4 linked regions of the Mus musculus genome follow. The protein of the gene in region 1 purifies or fractionates together with the protein of each later gene. This does not show direct contact. Links are inferred from orthologs where the notes say so. Each region holds a gene or a part of one and is shown on either strand. Other genes may lie near its edges. The genes, in order: Mta1, Hic1, Dnmt1 and Bcl11a.

The links.
Region 2: the proteins of Mta1 (region 1) and Hic1 purify together in Homo sapiens (affinity purification with western blotting; 3 studies listed by BioGRID). This does not show direct contact. The link is inferred for Mus musculus from reciprocal best matches to the Homo sapiens genes MTA1 and HIC1.
Region 3: the proteins of Mta1 (region 1) and Dnmt1 purify together in Homo sapiens (affinity purification with western blotting; 4 studies listed by BioGRID and IntAct, with this or other methods). This does not show direct contact. The link is inferred for Mus musculus from reciprocal best matches to the Homo sapiens genes MTA1 and DNMT1.
Region 4: the proteins of Mta1 (region 1) and Bcl11a purify together in Homo sapiens (affinity purification with mass spectrometry; 4 studies listed by BioGRID and IntAct, counting the BioPlex papers as one, with this or other methods). This does not show direct contact. The link is inferred for Mus musculus from reciprocal best matches to the Homo sapiens genes MTA1 and BCL11A.

What each region holds. Positions count from the first base shown.
Region 1 is NC_000078.6:113,121,593-113,126,516, forward strand, and holds part of Mta1 (metastasis-associated protein MTA1), read left to right. Parts: intron 1-1,524; coding exon 1,525-1,642; intron 1,643-4,924. UniProt on the Homo sapiens protein: Transcriptional coregulator which can act as both a transcriptional corepressor and coactivator. Acts as a component of the histone deacetylase NuRD complex which participates in the remodeling of chromatin.
Region 2 is NC_000077.6:75,166,596-75,172,163, reverse strand, and holds the start of Hic1 (hypermethylated in cancer 1 protein), read left to right. Parts: upstream 1-1,908; 5' UTR 1,909-2,644; coding exon 2,645-3,161; intron 3,162-3,517; exon of another isoform or gene 3,518-3,541; intron 3,542-4,011; exon of another isoform or gene 4,012-4,233; coding exon of another isoform or gene 4,234-4,270; intron 4,271-4,619; coding exon 4,620-5,568. UniProt on the Homo sapiens protein: Transcriptional repressor. Recognizes and binds to the consensus sequence '5-[CG]NG[CG]GGGCA[CA]CC-3'. May act as a tumor suppressor. Involved in development of head, face, limbs and ventral body wall.
Region 3 is NC_000075.6:20,910,616-20,915,539, reverse strand, and holds part of Dnmt1 (DNA (cytosine-5)-methyltransferase 1), read left to right. Parts: intron 1-1,375; exon of another isoform or gene 1,376-1,450; coding exon 1,451-1,643; intron 1,644-2,883; coding exon 2,884-2,968; intron 2,969-3,231; coding exon 3,232-3,360; intron 3,361-3,524; coding exon 3,525-3,807; intron 3,808-3,981; coding exon 3,982-4,123; intron 4,124-4,924. UniProt on the Homo sapiens protein: Methylates CpG residues. Preferentially methylates hemimethylated DNA. Associates with DNA replication sites in S phase maintaining the methylation pattern in the newly synthesized strand, that is essential for epigenetic inheritance.
Region 4 is NC_000077.6:24,084,556-24,088,055, forward strand, and holds part of Bcl11a (B-cell lymphoma/leukemia 11A), read left to right. Parts: intron 1-765; coding exon 766-1,095; intron 1,096-3,500. UniProt on the Homo sapiens protein: Transcription factor. Associated with the BAF SWI/SNF chromatin remodeling complex. Binds to the 5'-TGACCA-3' sequence motif in regulatory regions of target genes, including a distal promoter of the HBG1 hemoglobin subunit gamma-1 gene.

The sequences.
Region 1 (4,924 bases):
TCCTGGAGGATGTGGCAGTTGAAAGGGATGCTAAGCCAAGTAAGAAGCATGCATGCACTGTCTGTCTGTCTCTCTCACACACATACACACACACACACACACACACACACACACACACACACACACACACACACACACACACACACTAGCTCGGGTGGCCTAGACAGGCCTCACTCACTGCGTGGCCAGGATGGAGGAATCCGTCCTACGCTCAGCTTACACCCCTTACACAGGGATCTTGTCCAAATGCAGAGCTCACTGAGAAGCCCGCGTTCTCAGCTGTAGCCCTACTCCGGCCATGCAGAGCCCAGAAAGAGTTGGGTGTGGTGGTTCAGCTTTTGCTGCGTGAGCCCCTTCAGGGCTGGGAATCTGAGCCGCCATGAGATGTGCACCTCAGCACTCCAGGCAGGGACTCACTGAGAGAGAAGGCCATCCACGTCTCAGACAGTAGCCAAGAGAAGGGAGGCCTAGCATGACCATGCCACCCAGACTCTCCTCCGCAGTGACAGGCCTGAGTCAGCACCACTGTCCACTGAGTGGACCGGACCCCTGGAAAGGCAGCAGTCGTTGACTAACACCTCCATGCAGTGGCCAAGAGGAGTTAGTGGTTTTCAGAGTGGTAGCAGGAAGAATGGAAGCTGGAAAAGGGGGAGTTGTAAGTCGTGGGGTGGAATGTGAAGGTGAGGGGCCAGCTGCCAAGGAGCTGTGGATGAGCTGGGCAATAGACCCAGGAACAGGGAGCACTGAGGGCCCAGGTGGTGACGGGAGGGAGGAGGGTGACCTTGGGCCCAGGAGACCACTACTCAGAACTAACACCATGCTGATTGTATGGAGTGAGGCTGGGCTTAAAGCCTGACACAGGAAAGATTAAGAAAGGCTGTGTTGTGTGAGTGTCAGCCTGCTGGCCAGGCACAGAGCATCAGAGTCAGCCATGAGGATGCAGCCTGGTATGGTCTGTAGCGCTGTGCTTGGTGCCTCTTCATGTGCTTGCCTGCCTTCAGCATGGAGAATTTATTCCTAGATACCATGTTTTTTTTTTTTTTTTTGCGCTCATAAGTTGATTTCCCTGCTCCCCTCCCCCCATCCCCCAGGGGTAGTGGTGATGTTTGAGACAGGTTCTCATGTAGCCCTGGCTGTCTTGGAGCGCACTATGTAGACCAGGCTGGCCTCACTCACAGAACTCTGCTTGTTTCTGATTCTCAACTGCTGGGGTTAAGGGAGTGTGCCACTGTGCCTGGCCTTCATTAGCTGAGTTTCAAAAGGTTGCAGTGACAGAAAGACAGTGGCTTTTGTGAGGGGGCTGTACACAGCAGCCTTGAGAGCCCCTCACCAGGCAAGTACCCTCTAGCAGTTTGATGAGGACTCACCTAGTCCTTACTTCACTTCTGTTGCTGCAGGGCTTCTGCCCTGGGTCCTGGACAGGCAGGACCACATCCCTCACCCTCAGAACTGGACTGGCTTGTTGGATGCAGCTAGAAGAGAACACTTGTCTGACACCTCTGTCTTGTATGTGGTATTTTTCAGGATTTCTTCTTCTACTCTCTAGTCTACGACCCACAGCAGAAGACCCTCCTGGCTGATAAAGGGGAAATTCGTGTAGGAAACCGGTACCAGGCTGACATCACTGACTTGCTGAAAGAAGGTGAGGTTCAGGCTGGGCCAGCAGCATGGAGGAGGCTGGAGGTAGTACTTGTAGCTTTTACCTAGGCTTCAGCTCCTCCAAGCCTCCGTCCTAGTGGACATTGGCATCCAGCCGCAAGGCTCAAACCCTAGAGCCGCCTGTTGAGCCCTGTGGCTCCTTGACCTCGGATTTCCCTTTGGTAGCTCATTATGAGTTTGATTTTATACTGTTTCTGCTAGGAAAGTATTCTGCCACGTGCCACATTCCCACCCTTGTTCCTTACTTATTTTATTCTTTTGCCTGCATGTATGTCAGGGCACCACTTGTGTGCAGTGTCTATGGAAGTCAGAAGGCATTAGGGTTAGAGAAGGTTGTGAGCCTCCCTGTGGGGGCTAGGAGGTGAGTGAGCCCAGGTTTCCTGGGAAAGCAGTCAGTGCTGTTAACCACTGAGCCATTTCCCCAGCTCCATCCCATGTTTTTTGAGACAGGGTCTCATTTATTTATATAGCCCAAACTGACCTTGAACTTGCCTTCCTCTTTGGCAAACCATCACACCTGGCTCATTATAATTCTACATTCATGGTGTGTGTGTGTGTGTGTGTGTGTGTGTGTAGAGTCTGGTTTTTCATTCCCCAATGTGAGACTCAGGAATCCAATTTGTCCTTCAAGTCCTTAGTGTACTTTGGAGGTCAGAGGACAATTTGTAGAGTTGGTTCTGTCCTCTCACGTGGTTCTGGAGGCTGAACTCAGGTTGTCAGGCTTAGCAGCAAGCACCTTAGCGTACTGAGTCATCTCACCAGCCCCTCCCCATTCGGGGGGTTAAAATGTCTGTCTGTCTGTCTGTCTTCCTTCCTTCCTTTCTTCCTTCCTTCCTTCCTTCCTTCCTTCCTTCCTTCCTTCCTTCCTTCCTTCCTTTCATTCATTCATTCATTCATTCATTCATTCATTCATTCATTCATTCATTCATGTAGGGGTTTAGTCAGGAATGCCCTACAAGAATTGAGTCTATCCTAGGTGGCAGCAGAGATCAAACTCAGGTTGTCAGGCCTGGTGGGAAGTGCGAGCAGATTGACATGAGCTGGCTCAGACCTGGCATCCAAGGCGTGCAGGTCCCTTCCACATCTCGCCTCAGCATCCCTGGCAAAATGCTCTGATGGGCTCCAGATGCTCTGTCTCCTAAGGAAGCACTCAGCCTCTGACCCAGTCAGGCTCCGCATTTCTGGAACTGTTGGCTTAGCTGGGACTGGGGGCTCAGAGAGCACCACTTCCGTGCACCAAGTCTCTGAGGCAATTGCTGTTTGGTTGTTTTGGGGGCCTCAGCTACAGCTTGTCATATGCTAGGACAGTGTGCTGCCTTCAGGGTGGCTGGCCCGACGTAGCACCTGTTTCCTGCGTTTTCCATGCCCTTCCCTTTGCCTTGTGGTTTCTGTTTGATTTTCTGGTGTTTGTTGGACCTCAGAATGAGGTGCTAAGCCCACTTGGGTGGCAGCTGGGTGTGGCCTGGCTGTTGGAGTAGGTGCGTCCCTCTGAGCTGTGTATGGGAGGCTGGTCTTTTCTGACTTCTGTTCCGTGCTTGAGCCTCGTTACCCTGTCTCTAACACCTGGGCCTCCAGATGCCCATGCACAACCTCATAGCCAGAGCCAGCCAGTTGCTGCCTGTTCAGCTTATTCCCCAAATAGCCCCAGCCTTAAAGCTCTGTAGACAGGCCTGAACTCTGTCCAGCCTCCTAACTCTGAAGCCACGGTATCCGCTTTCTCAGCCTGACTGAAGGGAAGTGTCAGAGGGAAGTGTCAGAGGCCAGCCGAGGCTGTCACAGTCACATGAACTTACACAGGGACCAGAGAGGTGGGAGAGGTCTCAAAGGTCAGAGGACCTTGCTTTCAGCCTCTGTTTCTCAGAATCAAGCTGCTCCAGGTGTCCCAGGCATGTGTGGGCTCATTGGCTAGTGCTAGGAGAACCCCCAAGAAAGCTATGCTTTGTCTGTGGGGCCTGCCTGTGAAAAAAAGCAGGACCTCAGGGGAGTCTCCAGCTACCACAGTGTCCTCCTCCTTCCTAGTCTCTGCAGCCTTTCGACACAAAGGTCAGCGGCTTCCCCATGGTATCTGTCTTCAAATTAAGCTTTTAGCCGGGCGTGGTGGCACATGCCTTCAATCCCAGCACTTGGGAGGCAGAGGCAGGCGGAGTTCTGAGTTCAAGGACAGCCTGGTCTACAGAGAGAGTTCCAGGACAGCCAGGGCTACACAGAGAAACCCTGTGTAATTTAAAAAATTAAACTTTTAGAATATGTGTGTGTGTGTGTGTGTGTGTGTGTGTGTGTGTGTGTGTGTGTGTGTGTACACACCTCCTGTCTGGACAAGACCAGAAGTGTTGCATCTCTTAGAGCTGGAGATACTAATGTTTGTGAGCTCTGGTAGACAGGAGTACTGGAAATTGGAACTTAAGACCTTTGGAAGAGCAATGTATGCTCTTGACGGCTGAGCCATGTCTCCGCCCCAGTGTGTGCATTTTGAATGATGACATGGAATGCTTGCCTTCATTCACTGTATTGGAAATTTCAAAGTGAGTGATTCTGGTTGAGTTCCACAGGCATTCTTTGCTCTCTGTTCCAGGCAGTTACAGATCATTTGCTATGAACAGCACCTTGGTTTTGGGGACCTTAGAATGTCAAGGGTTGTACCCTGTGACACCCCCCACCCCCCGATTAAGCACAGTTCACATCAAGACTGAAACCCACTCACAACATTGGGGGAAAGGCCACTGTCCTGGGCCTGCATAGGCTGGAGTTTGTAGCCTCCAGCTGTAGCCTGTGAGCATCGGAGAACCTGATAGTTCCATTCCTCCCATGGCTCCTGCCGGGTCTTCTGCAGGGGTGGGACCCTCATCCTCTGTGACTAGCTGGTCATAAGAGCTCCCTTGCCTTGCTCTGCTCTGTCCTGGATTTAGGACCCATAGACAGTAACTCTCCAAAGGGTCAGGAATATCTTCTTGGCGACAGACATCCAGTCCTTCTGTTACTCAGTGTCCTGACTAGGAACCCCGTATTCTTCGGGAACTCAAGTGTAGGCTGTTCATGGCCACATGGTGCGTTGATGCCAAGGGCCAAAGGGGAGTTGATGGGATCTGATGCAAACTGGAAGCTTGATACCTTCACTCAATTATGAATGTAGCCCTTGGCTGGAGACTCAGACAATGGACGACTATGGGATATCTCCTGGGGCCTTTCCCTAGAGTCAGGCCTGGCCTGGCTCGTGACAAAATTCTCCTTGGAACTCTTGGTCCTGCTGTATGTCTTTTAATGAGTA
Region 2 (5,568 bases), on another chromosome or scaffold:
TCTCCTGGACCGCAGGGGTCCTCCCTTGGCAGCCCCAAACCACACTGCTCATTCCCTAGACCCTACAGTCCTCTGACGCCAGAAGATGCCCCGCGATGGTATCACTCCCATTTGGCCACCGTGGTATCCTCGCTCTCTCCTGGTGTGTGTGTGGGGGGGGGGTGGGGGGTGAGGCAAGAAACTGGACCGGTTTAGGAGGGGAGTAGAGTGCACCTCGGACTTTGACATCTAGGAGCTGGGGAAAGAGGGGTGGAGAAGCCTGGGAGTTTTGGAAGGCTTCTTGACTGGGTCACAGGAGGAAAGGTACCGGTCAGATGGTGGAAACCGCAGAGAAGATCAGGGAGTCTAAGGAGAGTGGTCTGGACTTTAGAAATGAGCAGAAGATCTTCTGTAAGAGTTTGGAAAATCCCTGTACGGAGTATCCACAAAAGGAAGGGCTAGCCTGACAAGTACTGGAGAGCCAACTTGGCAGTGCCCCAGGGGGCACGAGGGGGCCACCTCAGTGGGGTGGAATAGGCATAGGCAGAGCCTGTAAGAGAGAAAATGAGACTAAGGGGGCTCAATAGCTTGGCAGAGGGTGTGTGTAGCTGGGACTCCTTTCTAAAGGAGTCAGAATAGACTAAAGGCAAATACGATATGGAACAGGTCCTCCAAAACAGCCCGATTCTGTCTCCGGGCTCTAAATGGGGTCGTCATGCGTTCACGGAGAGGAGGAAGCTGCACCAGGATGACCAGAGGAGCTCAGGAAGAAGGGGAAAGCAAAGTTAAGAGGAGGGGCATGGTGGTGCGCATCCTTGTACGTGGGAAGTAGACGCCTTTGTGAGTTCGAGGCTAGCCGTAGACTTGAAACTGTGGTGGTGGTGGTGGTGGGGCGTGGAGGAGAGGAGAGGAGAGAAGGGGAGGGGAGGGGAGGGGAGTACACAGTGAAACTTGGGCAAGGTTTATGTGGTTGGCCCCATAGCGATACAACAAGGGCTTGAGTCGGTGGAGAGGGATAGAACAAGAAGGAACTGAAGACCCAGCCGACCTCCTTATGGGTCAACCAGCGGATAAACTCCATTGTGTAAAACACATACAGAGCTTTCTCTCCAGACTCGCACGATCTAACCCCATTAAAAGGAGAAAACATTTAAAACAGAGACATCAGAGACACCCTTGCTTGTGGGAGAACTCAGAGTTGTCAAAACTCATCCCTAAGAGCACTTCTGGGGAGCCTTCTTATCCTCAAACGCTCCGTTACACTTCCGCTTCAGCCCCAAGGCGTATCCCTCGACAGAGATACCAAGGTACCTCTTCACTTCTCCTAGAGCTCAGAAATTGTGGAGTCCACCGTGGGACTGCAGTGTTTGTCTTGTATGGACACTGTACGGAGATACGAAGTAGTAAGTGGATTAGATGGAGGCGGAGCACACTGTCGCGGAAACCTGGTGAGCCTTGAAGACTCTTTGGACCAGAAGCCTAGGCCAGGCATAGAAGTCTCCTGCCAAAGAAACGCAGCCTCTAGGAGGCGCCCAAGACCTTGGTGTCTCACTGGTACAGCTAGAGGCCCGGCCGGCTGCCCCGGGCGAGTGACTCAGCCACTACCTCAAGCGGGGGAGTGGGGGCTCGAAGACAGCGTGGGGTGCGGCGAGCGTAGCCCCCACCCGCCCTGCGCCCCGCGCGGTTGCTAAGCTCTCCAAGGCCTCTGAGAGATGAGATCCCGGGAACCTCATTGGTTACCATAGTAACTCTGAGCCCCAGCCTCTCCGGCTTGGCCACGGAGGATGGCGCAGCCAATAAGAAGCTGTGGGCGGTTTGGGGGGACCCCCCCTATAGCGTGGGCGGGGGTCAGGAGGTGCGGGGAAGAGGCGGAGCGTGGGCCACGGAGGCGCGGTGCTTGCAACGGTGCTTATGCCTCCGCCCCGCTATGCAGGGACATTTCCGGTGAGCACCCAAGAGCTGGTGCACGCTCCCCTCCCTCCTAAAAGAGGAGTCACCAACATGAATGAGCTCTCCCTTGTGTGGCGTGTAGGATCTTTTTTTGAGGGGGTCTCAAGCCGCCCGTTCTCGTGATATCTCTCGAATGGTGTATTGGGGGGGGGCAAACTAAGATCCCTCAAAACTGCTTAGATGGGGGATTGGGGACTTGAGGGGCACGTCGCAAGGGGGCTCTGTCCAGCTATTTCCAATGGAGGGCTCTAGGGTCCTTCTGGAGACCCGCAAGTTCGGGGAGGGCTCTTTGGTAGGACCTCTACCCCGTTTCACGTAGTAGCCTCCGCAGTAGCCCAAGAAGTTGGGACTCCGGGAGGGGGTGGGCGGTCTGTGTAAACATGGCGCGCCCTTGTCACTGCTTGGACAGAGTTTGAGTGTGGACGGTTTATGATGTGCATACTGATAACATGTGTCTGAGGGAGAGTTGGAATGTGTCTCTCTCCACTGAGTCCAAGTGAATAATGGTGTTCAGAAATGTCTAATAAAAGCCGCCCCGCTCCTGCTCCGAACGTATGTACCTTCATCTCACTTAGGATTTCTAAGCTCGCCCTCTCACAGAATACTGTTCGTAGTGTTCCACCCCAACCCCTTTTCTAAGATAGGGTCTCAGGTAGTAGAGGCTGACCTTGAACTCCTGGTCCTCTTGCTTCCAACTCCTGGGTGCTATGCTAGGATGATTACAAGAATGCGCCACCATCCCTGGCTTAAGAGTTCCTCATTTGAAGACAGAACCTTCCCCTCCCCCCCCCCGAATTGGCGCGATATAACATATAAATATGTACTCGGGAGCACTCAGCACAAAACCCCCAGGTTTATGGGACTCCCAGGTCCGATATCTGAGTCTCCAGGTGGGCACATCTGGAAGCGCGCGAACCTGCAAGATCTGCTCAGCTCCGCATCTGCAAGCCTCTTGGCCCAGGTGTGCGCCAGAGGTCGCAGCCCAGCCGCACACAGTCCCCGCGTGGCCGCGAGGTGGCGCCATGGCCGCGGCAGCGTCTGCCGGTTCGGGCCGCTCCAGATAAGAGTGTGCGGAAAGCGCGGAGGGGCTGAGACGCGACCAGGACGCGGGGAGGACGGACCGGCAAGACAGACCGACCGGGGGCCCGGCGGGCGGAGGGCAGCGCACTGCAGCCACGTCCCCCCCTGGATCCGCCGGCAGCCGGGCCCGGGGCTTCCGACATGCCCCCCAGGTGGGTCCTCGAGTTGGCGACAGGGAAGGGCAAGGGACCCGGGACAATCTGGTCCTCGTGCGCCGGCTACCTCGGGAGCATCCTCAGGCGTGGGCGCCCGGGTCGCGGCTGGCGTTTGGGGCTCTAAGTGTCTTCCCTAGAGGACTCGGGACGGCTGGGCCGCTGCTCGGCGCCGGGTTCACGGCGGGGTCAGCGGCCCGGGGCCGGCTCTGCCCGCACATGGGCTGGGGAGGAGAGGGGAAGGCAAGGGGAGCCGGCGGGCGGGGCTGGCAGGGGCGCTGCCCTGGCACAGCTCGGCGCCTGGCAGCGGGGCGGGTGGGGCGCAGGCTAGGAGCTGCCACCGCCTCAGGGAGGGAAGCCGGGCTGGGCGGCCGCCGCAGGTAACGGGCCGGCGAGGCCCTGCGGGCCAGGCGGGGAACAGGGGCGGGCGTGCTCGCCGGAGGGCAGGGCGGCTTTAGATTTGGTGTGGGTCCCCACTGCCACCAGGCTGCTGAAATTGGGGGCCCAGAGGAGGAACTGGGGGCCAGGGAGGGGGGCTGGGGCCGGCGCGCTCCTCCCGCCCTGTCTGAAGTTGGGAAAGTTTTCCCCGAAGTTTGAGGCGGCAGAGTTTCGGGGGAGACGGGGCGGAGGGGAGCTGGGGAAGAGATGTGGAGCCGAGGCCCCGGCTGGGTCCAGAACGCGGGTGGGGCGCAGGCCAGGGTCAGGGCCGCAGCCGGCTGTGCGCCGTGCCCGCCCGGGGCGCTGCCCCCTCCCTCCCCTGGGAGCTGCGTGGCTCCCCCCTCCCCCCCACCTGCTTCCTGCCTCAGCCTCCTGCCCCGATATAACGCCCTCCCCGCGCCGGGGCCCGGCCTTCGCGCTCTGCCCGCCACCGCAGCCACTGTCTCCGCTCCCCGGGCCGGGCCGGCCGGCCCTAACGAAGGCCTGACAGCCCCGGGCCAGGGCGGTGCCTCGATGGGCATCTTGCTCCCGTCTTCCTTATCACTTCCCCTAACCGGGGCAACTTCTTTCGAGGCGGGAGGCGCTTCTAACTCGGCTCCTTGTCTCCCCACTTGGGCAAACTTCTCGGCCCTGAATGACTTTTCCTGAAGCGGACATTTTACTTAAATCGGGTAATTGTCTCCGAAAGGGTCATTTCGCCCTAAACAGATTTCTCCCTGGAAGTTCCCAGGACCCAGCCTGAGTGCCCAGGAGCATCTGGGGCTGGAACAGATAGGCTAACCTGGCCTACTCTCCATCCACAGCCTTTCTCCTCCTGCACCTTCTGTCTGGGGCCGGCGGGCCTAGGCTTCCACTCCCGGAGGCCGCTGATCCTCCTCGGCTACTGTTCAGGCCGTGGTGCTCCATGCCCCTGATCAGCTGAGGGGAAGGGGAAGCGGAGGGGAACCGACTGGGTTGGGTACAAGAGGCCAGGGCACCGCACTGCGTAGCTCTTACCCAGCTGGTGTGTGTCTCCCGCAGGAGAGTGTGCTGGGCAGACGATGCTGGACACGATGGAGGCGCCTGGCCATTCGAGGCAGCTACTGCTGCAGCTCAACAATCAGCGCACCAAGGGCTTCTTGTGCGACGTGATCATCGTGGTGCAGAATGCCCTCTTCCGCGCGCACAAGAACGTGCTGGCGGCCAGCAGCGCCTACCTCAAGTCCCTGGTGGTGCATGACAACCTGCTAAACCTGGACCATGACATGGTGAGCCCGGCCGTGTTCCGCCTGGTGCTGGACTTCATCTACACCGGCCGCCTGACTGACAGTGTTGAGGCCGCAGCAGCAGCAGCGGTGGCCCCGGGCGCGGAGCCGAGCCTGGGCGCTGTGCTGGCTGCTGCCAGCTACCTGCAGATCCCTGACCTCGTGGCTCTGTGCAAGAAGCGCCTCAAACGCCACGGCAAGTACTGCCACCTGCGGGGAGGAGGCAGCGGCGGCGGCGGCTACGCTCCTTACGGGCGGCCCGGCCGGGGCTTGAGGGCTGCCACGCCCGTCATCCAGGCTTGCTACTCGTCCCCGGCCGGGCCACCGCCGCCGCCTGCCGCCGAGCCGCCGTCGGGCCCCGATGCAGCCGTCAACACCCACTGCGCTGAGCTATATGCTTCAGGCCCGGGCCCAGCAGCCTCACTCTGCGCCCCGGAGCGTCGCTGCTCCCCGCTTTGCGGCCTGGATCTGTCCAAGAAGAGCCCGCCAGGTTCCTCGGTCCCCGAGCGACCGCTTAGTGAGCGCGAACTGCCTCCACGCCCGGATAGCCCTCCCGGTGCGGGGCCCGCAGTCTACAAGGAGCCATCACTCGCCCTGCCCCCGCTGCCGCCTTTGCCCTTCCAAAAGCTGGAGGAGGCCGTACCGACTCCAGACCCGTTTCGAGGAAGCGGTGGCAGTCCGGGACCCGAGCCCCCCGGCCGCCCCGACGGCTCCAGCCTCCTCTA
Region 3 (4,924 bases), on another chromosome or scaffold:
GTCCTGATTTGTCTGGGTCCTCCTTCCCAAACCACAGTCCCTTTCTCTGCTCTTGCATCGCCCTCCCTGAGCCTGCTCTGCACCTTCCTTGCTGGTTCTGGAGTTTGTTTTCCAGTCCTTGGCTTGACTCAACACTCCCCTACACACACACACACACACACACACACTCCCCTACGCACGCACGCACACGCGCGCTCACACACACACACACACACACACACACACACATCTTATACCTTTGTGCATTTGTGGGTGCTTTCTGCTTCTTTGATTGTGAATGGGTGTTAACTGGTTGACAAAGGCAGTTCGATCCCTAGGGTTTGAGGCTAGCTTGGTCTACATAGTGAGTTCAAGGATAGCCAGAGCTACAGAGAAACAAAACAGAACTGGGTTTCATTCTGGAGTTCAGGCTCCCCTAAAACATACTCTGTGGTCCACTCCTGCCTTAATACTATATTGATCCTCCTGCCTCAGCCCTCACTGTCTTTCCCTTGTAAAAATCCTGTAGCTGGAAGTGATGAGGGGCTTCTGTGAAAGAAAACTACCAGGTAGACCAGCCAGCACAGCTGGAACGTGAGACCAGCCAGCACAGCTGGAACCTGAGATCCTTGTCTGTGCATCCCAAGGGTTGGATAGCAGGCACCTGCTACTACACCTGATTTTCCTAGAGTCTTTGTAATAATGGGTGTGGTAAACAAAAGAGCAGGGCACCCAGCATTGATGGGTGGGATGAAGGCAGAGAGTACACCAGTCCCTGGTGGTGCCCAGGAATCCTATTCCTGCTGTGGTATTGGGGCCAAGTAAGGGTTGGTGGCCACCAAGCTGACTGGACTGGGATGTGGTCTTTTCTATGGTGCAGTTTGGTTGAGCATCCTCAAACCAAAATACTGAAAATTCTACAACTGATCTCTTCTTACAGGCTGCCACAGGTGTACTTAATGCTACGTAGAGACCAGAGAGATGGCTCAGTGCTTAAGATTTGATGTTTGTTTTCTAGCACCCAGATAGATGGTGGCCACGGTCATCTGTAACTCCAAATTCCACAGGACCTGCTGCCATTCTCTGCCCTCCGTGGGCATTGTACACACCTGTAGCCATACATACACGGACGGAAATTACCCATTCACACTAAATAAAAATGAATAAATAGTTTTTAAATGCTGCCTGAAGTGACCTGGGTGACGGGGATGGTAGCTGATGTCTGTGATCCTGGTAGTTGAAGTGCTGTGGCAGGAGGATCACTGAGTTGGAGGTCGGCTTGGGCAGCAGAGCAAGACACTCTCAACAAATAAAAGGCCTTGAAGCTGTGGTGTGAGGTGTACAAGACTAATAAGATTCCTGTTCTCAGACTCGGCTCTCAGTTGCTGGTCCAGGCATTTCAGAGGAGGGTGCTCGGCCGGGGATTATAAATCTGTGGTAAAGTAGTATTCCCCTGGTATCCTCCTCACAGGCCTGAGAATACCCACAGGTCCTACAACGGATCCTATCACACTGACATCAACATGCTTTACTGGAGCGACGAGGAAGCTGTGGTGAACTTCAGCGACGTGCAGGGCCGCTGTACCGTGGAGTACGGGGAAGACCTACTTGAGAGCATCCAGGATTATTCACAAGGGGGCCCTGACCGCTTCTACTTCCTCGAGGTGGAGCCAAGCTTCAGGGGCAAATGTGCAGGAGCAGGGTGCCCAAGACAGTGGCTCGGGCTGGGGCAGGGCTCAGTGAGACAGGGCCTTTGTTCAGCAGACGCTAGGCTAATCCTGGGTGTGTCTTTCGACAGGAGAAGCTAAGGAGGCAGCTAATTCATGTGTAGATCTGTTTTTTATTTTGTTTTTTTTTAGTGAATTTTTAAAAAAATTTTTATTTTCATGAGAATTAATTGGTATTTTGCCCACATGATATATGTCTGTGTGATGGCATCAGATCCTTGAAACTGGAGTTCAAGACAATTGTGAGCTACCGTGTGGGTGCTAGGAATTGATCCTGGGTCCTTAGAGAGAGCAGCTGCTACCTCATCTCCCCAGAGCTGTCTGTTTGGTCTTTTGAGATAGGGTCTCACTGTATAGCCCTAGAGTTCTGTATGCAGATTAGGTTGACCTTGAACTGACAGAAATTCTCCTGTCTCCTCCAAGTGCTGGAATTAAGACTTGTACTCACAAGTCTTAATTCCAGCACCTCCCCCACCTCCAATTGAGTCTTAGGTGTGGGATTTTGGCTTTTAAAGGAAAGAGTGCAGCTGGGGATATGGCTTGATCTGTAGAGTTCCTGCCTAGCACACATGAAGCCCTGGGCTGGGTTCCCACACGGCATAAACTGGCCGTGATGCCCAGCGAGCGGGCGGTGGAGGCGGTGTTGGGCATTGACACAGAGAGAGGTAGTGGCTAGCAGGCCAATTGTTAACATGTAAGGTGTTGGGGCTGAGCTGCACATCCTTGCTCACTGCACGTCCGTGCGCACAGGTCTGATTTCAGGTGCTCTGCAAAGTCAACACTCGCTTTTTAAGAGTAGTAATGGAGAATGCAACATTTTATTGTCTTAACAGCATTAAAATTTATCCGAGACTGTTTTTGTAGGCGTCTAATAACCATGCCTAGGGTTTTGATATGTATTGAGAGCGTCCCCCTTCTTGGAGGAGTACATTTCAGTCCCGTGTTGGTTGTATGTAGTCAGCTTCTCTGTAGCGTGGACTGGCCTCAAATTCATACTTGTGCCTCAGCACCTCTTCCAGCTGACTGTAGGTTTTGTCTGTTTCCATTGGTGAGATCAAATTCCATTGGTGGCTAATTGGCTGTGGCTGAACTCCGATTAAGAGACTGTCGGTCAGCTCTTAAACAGTGTGAGGGGATCCATGCATTTCTTCTCTACTAACGTGGCTTCTCTCTGCAGGCCTACAATTCAAAGACCAAGAACTTTGAAGACCCACCAAACCATGCCCGCAGCCCTGGGAACAAAGGGAAAGGGAAGGGGAAAGGTGTGTCCTTGTCCCATCTGTCAGTCCTCCTGAGTATGGTTCTGAGAGAGAAAGCGTGTGCCGTCTAGGCAGCACTGAAGCCCAGAAACTTCTGCCTCCACCTGCCAAATTCTGGGGTCATAGACGCCAGCGCTTGGGTGGCTGAGTCGGGAGGGTCTCCCAAAAGGCGGCTCTAGGTCACATAGCATGGCAGAGAAAGATCTCCCGAGTAGGCCTGAGGAGAGCACTCTGCTGGCTCTCCTCATTAACTGTTCCTCCTCCAGGGAAGGGGAAGGGGAAGCATCAGGTGTCAGAGCCCAAAGAGCCTGAGGCAGCCATCAAACTGCCCAAGCTCCGGACCCTGGATGTGTTTTCCGGCTGTGGAGGGTTATCGGAAGGATTCCACCAAGCAGGTAAGCAGGAGCTGGTGCTGACTCTGGCCTGGCTTTAGGGTGGCTTTCAGGCATGGCCGGCCGGCCGGCCAAGGTGGCTGTCAAGTGGTGCGATGCATGTTTGAGCAAATAGAATTGATTAAAATAGATTTAAAATGGCACTCGTCTGGCTTTGTGTCTACCAGGCATCTCGGAAACGCTGTGGGCCATCGAGATGTGGGACCCGGCAGCCCAGGCATTTCGGCTGAACAACCCCGGCACCACAGTGTTCACAGAGGACTGCAACGTGCTTCTTAAGCTGGTCATGGCTGGGGAGGTGACCAACTCTCTGGGCCAAAGGCTGCCACAGAAGGGCGATGTGGAGATGCTGTGTGGTGGGCCACCCTGCCAGGGCTTCAGTGGCATGAACCGCTTCAACTCCCGCACTTACTCCAAGTTCAAAAACTCCCTAGTGGTCTCCTTCCTCAGGTAAGCATGGACCACAGCCCTCTGCCATTTGCTGTGGAGGGGCTGACTCCCAGTCTAGATTCAGGTTTGTGGGAGCAACCCCAACGCCGCTCCCATGGGAGCTGCCCATGCCCTGTTACCGGTTGCCTGGGCATGGAGGGGTTTGCAATGACTGTGTCCCTCCTGCCCCTACAGCTACTGTGACTACTACCGGCCTCGGTTCTTCCTTCTGGAGAACGTCAGGAACTTCGTGTCCTACAGACGCTCCATGGTGCTGAAGCTCACACTGCGCTGCCTGGTCCGCATGGGCTACCAGTGCACCTTTGGTGTGCTCCAGGTGGGCACCACGCGGGCAGAGGGACAGAAATGGCCTCTCGTGGGACAGTCCCTGGCCTGCTGTGGACAACAGAGGGCAACAGAGGTCTGCATGACCACCACTGAGGCTCAGCTCAGACAGAAAAAGCATAGGGCTAGCCAGGAACCTTTAATCCCAGCACTAGGGAGGCAGGTAGGCAAGTCTGAGTTTGAGGCTTGTCTGGTCTACAGAGAGTTCTAGGACAACCAGAGCTACACGGAGAAAGCCTGTCTTGAAAAAGACAGTAAAGAGCATGGGGTGACGAGGTGCGGTGGCACAGGCCTGTCTTTTCAAGTCCTGGAAGGCTGGAGTAGGATCCATGGATTGAAGGCCAGCATCTCAGGATTCAGAGTTGGCCATAGCTCAGTGTGATACATCCACTAGCAGCACATTTCCTTGGTCCTGTCCCTGGCACCCAAAGTTAATCGGGTAGCTGGGACCAAGTTGGTAGAGCACTTGTTTAATCTTCAGGAAGCCTGGGTTCCATTCTTACCACCACACAGACGTGGTTGCACACGCTAATCATCCCAACAAATAAAAAGGGGGGGTGTAGGTAGCATCAGCACTTGATTTGCCTACATAGCAAGTTTGTGCCTGGTCAGCAGCTATGGTCTTCCATGACTGTCGGGGAGGGAGGGCTGGGATTGCCAGCAGCGGAGTAGATGTAAGGTCAATAAAACACAGGGTGAGAAGTGGCCCAGCAGAACCGGGTTTATCCAGAGCAAACCCAGGACAGGAGCGCTCCTGTTGGTCGCCGAGGTCTTGCCATCCACTTACAGATGC
Region 4 (3,500 bases), on another chromosome or scaffold:
CTTTTCTTCAGGATGAAAAAAAAAAACATGACTAATTGGCTTATTTTCTTAAGTACTCAGAAGTATCCCATTTAGGGAACATGTTTGGGAAGACCTGCCAGTGAATGTGATGTTCCTTGAATTTCATAGCTGAGGAGGGCAGGGAGATGTTAGCACTGTGACGCTCACCTCATTGTGATGGGTAGACTGCGGTGCAAATGTGGCAGTCCTGTGTGGCTGCAGCAGCCTTCTGTGTGGAAGCCATGTGTGTACAGTACAGAGATTCACACACAAAGGCTGCCTGTGCTCATTCGCCTTTTTTCTCTAATCTTGGGCACAATAGACAACCTACTGTATGGGGCTGGGGGGAGGGGAGCAAAATTGGTTTGAGTTCATGTTTTTCCCGTAGTTATTATTTAAGCAGCCTATATATATATATATATATATATATATATATATATATATATATTTGTGTATGTTAACTGTTAAATCACATTCTTTCTAAAGAAAGAATTTCTAGTGTGTGTGTGTTCTCTGGAGTTCTCCAAGTCGGAGGGATTTCCTTTACTACATGATGGCCAACCTCACTGATAGATTTAATTATTTAATTATTGATACCCTCCAGAGCATTTGTTGCCTGTGTCCACATTTCCTGGGTATTATGTAGAGACTGCTCCAAATACTTGTTCTAGTCTGGAAAGGCAGGGGTGAGATTGAGAATGTCTGTTCCCCTTTTCTCTCCCCACTGGTTCCCTAATAATTGTGCTTTTGTTTCTTCAACCACAGCCGAACCTCTTGAAGCCATTCTTACAGATGATGAACCAGACCATGGCCCGTTGGGAGCTCCAGAAGGGGACCACGACCTTCTCACCTGTGGGCAGTGCCAGATGAATTTCCCACTGGGGGACATTCTTATTTTTATCGAGCACAAACGGAAACAATGCAATGGCAGCCTCTGCTTAGAAAAAGGTGTGGATAAGCCGCCTTCCCCTTCTCCCATCGAGATGAAAAAGGCATCCAATCCTGTGGAGGTTGGCATCCAGGTCACGCCAGAGGATGACGATTGTTTATCAACGTCATCTAGAGGAATTTGCCCCAAACAGGAACACATAGCAGGTAAATGAGAAGCGAAGGAGAGAAACTGTTTGCATGTTTTCTGTTTGTTTGCAGGGGCATTGTAGTCAAGCAGGAAGGAGGTGAAGTCTGTCTGTATTTCTCCCTGTGACTGTCTATGGCAGCCTTATAATGTTAAGTAATCATTCACCTTGCTTCCGTCCAGAACTCTGAAAATAAATCGTTTCCTACTTTACTGAGTCAGATGCAGGTGGGAAAGGTACACACACCCTTGACATCCTCGCCTGGCTCTGACGATGCCAACACTCTTCCCCTTGCTTGCCTCCTATTTTAAAGTGTTGAACCTTACCACACCACACCTAGCTCAGTTTCCAGTGTCCACTTATGGTCTTGGGGATGTATCAGAGGCAAGGTAACCACACAGGCATCTGTAGTTGAGCCAATAACTAGCCTGGAGGGCTAGAAAGAGTTAACTGAGCTCCAGGGCTAGCCTTGGATCCATATTGGCTGTCAGCCTGTATGGGGCTGTAATTAAACACAGCCCCGTGGTGGGATGACACAGTGACCTTGACTTTAAGATGCCATTTTCGACTGGCCAGGCCAGAGTAGAGAGGGCAGTTGCTGAAGCGCACAGACATGCTTACTCGAAAAGTTTAAGGGCATGTTGGAAATTTCAAAAGGTTGGTTTGACAGGAACGGCTGCTCCCTGCAGCCTGCCTCCTCAGCTCAGTGATAAATGCTCCCCTGCGCTCTCTCTTGTTTCTGATGTGGTTTTGACAGATGTATCTTGATTTTGTTTGTGGTTTACACAGCCACATGTCACCCTTACAAATGTCCAGTCCAGTCTCCACAGTTTCTTCCCTAGCCTAATGTAAAAAATTTCTTGGAGAAAAAAAAATGCATGCACATATTTAACAGCTTTCTCTCTCGGTTAATTTTACCAAGGAGGTAGCTAGGTGTGTGGGTTTCTCAGCAGCTCCAGGGAAAAGGAATTAGAAGCTAACAGAGGGAATTTAATTCCCTGCCCTAGTGATAAACAGCAACTCTAGGTAGTGGTTCTTAAAACACTGTTTGCTTTAGCATGTAGTCAGAGCAAAGCAGCTTCTGTGCTGACAGGGCTCCCACATCTGGGAGACAGCTCCTTCTCTGCATTGCCCCACCCTCCAAACGCAGGTGTGTGCATTTTTGGCAAGGTAGATAGATAGTCAGTCACAAGACTTACTGGAACTTGTCTCTGATACAGGTGGACCATGGAGTTGAACTGGGGGCGAGGGGGCGGCAGGGAAGGGGGGGGGGGATTAAATGTCACATTGCTCCTCCCCCAAATCTGGAATTTGATCGTTAAGATCAAGTGTGGCATTTCCTATCTTCTTTTTTCTTTTCTGCTTTCTGCAACAATACTCAACTATTTTCCTTTCGTGAAGTGAGGATTCTGCTTGCCAGGAACGCTGCGTGTGCTGAGTATTTTTCTAGAAGCCACCACATTTAGCTTCTGAGACATGGAGGTTAAGATTTTTATCTCCCCCACCTCCCTGTAGGATATGGCAATGACCATTTCCATGTGCTGCCTTGTGACTGGAAGGAGAAGGAACACAAGTGTAAGGCATGATTAATGAAGCAAGAGCAGGCAAGAGCAGGCGGAAGGGGATTTGTCATCTTTGGAGATCCAAAGCCTTGCTAAATCACCAAATATGGAGTAAGGCTTGTGTGATGTAACATCATATTTACATATCGAGCTGCTCGTTTAAAAGACAAAACACAGTGTCTGTCAGGCAAGAATTAAAACCACACTTACTCCGGAAGGCCTAAATAGCTTTTCAGTTTCAGGTTAGCCAGTTTGAAAATCAGGGCCTCTGTATATAGAAGAGGAATCTGAAGACTGAGGGAAGCCTTCAGATAAATAGTTAGGGCTTTTTACTTGTGTAGTTGGGACTCTCCATGGATGTGCAGGGAAGGAAATAGCCCTTAACTGGTTGTCATAATGATTCCATGGTATTTCAAAACTATTATGGTATGGTAGCAGAATCTAGAGAGGAAAGAGAGAGGGTGCACATTTGAAATCTGTTTTGCAGGGCTAACGGCGCATTGTTTCCCTGAAATGGAAAGCCACCTAAGGTGTCTCACATACTCACAGGCTACACATGCGATCCAGAGGTGTCTCACATACTCACTCACAGTGCACACATGCAATCCAGGAGAGGTAAACCTTTCATGCACAGGTCATTGCAAGACCTCGGCTCCTTCATGCTGTTTAATCACCTGCTCTTACCCTAGTATTGGCTGAACATAAACATCATAGTCACATCTCAAAGTGAGATAGATCATGACTAGAATCATGACTTCTCATAATTCACAGTAATGAATTAAGGCATTCGTATAGTGAAATTAACATTCTACTATTGCACATAAATTATGATGCTCTGGACCTCAGCTGCCCCTGAAGCAAA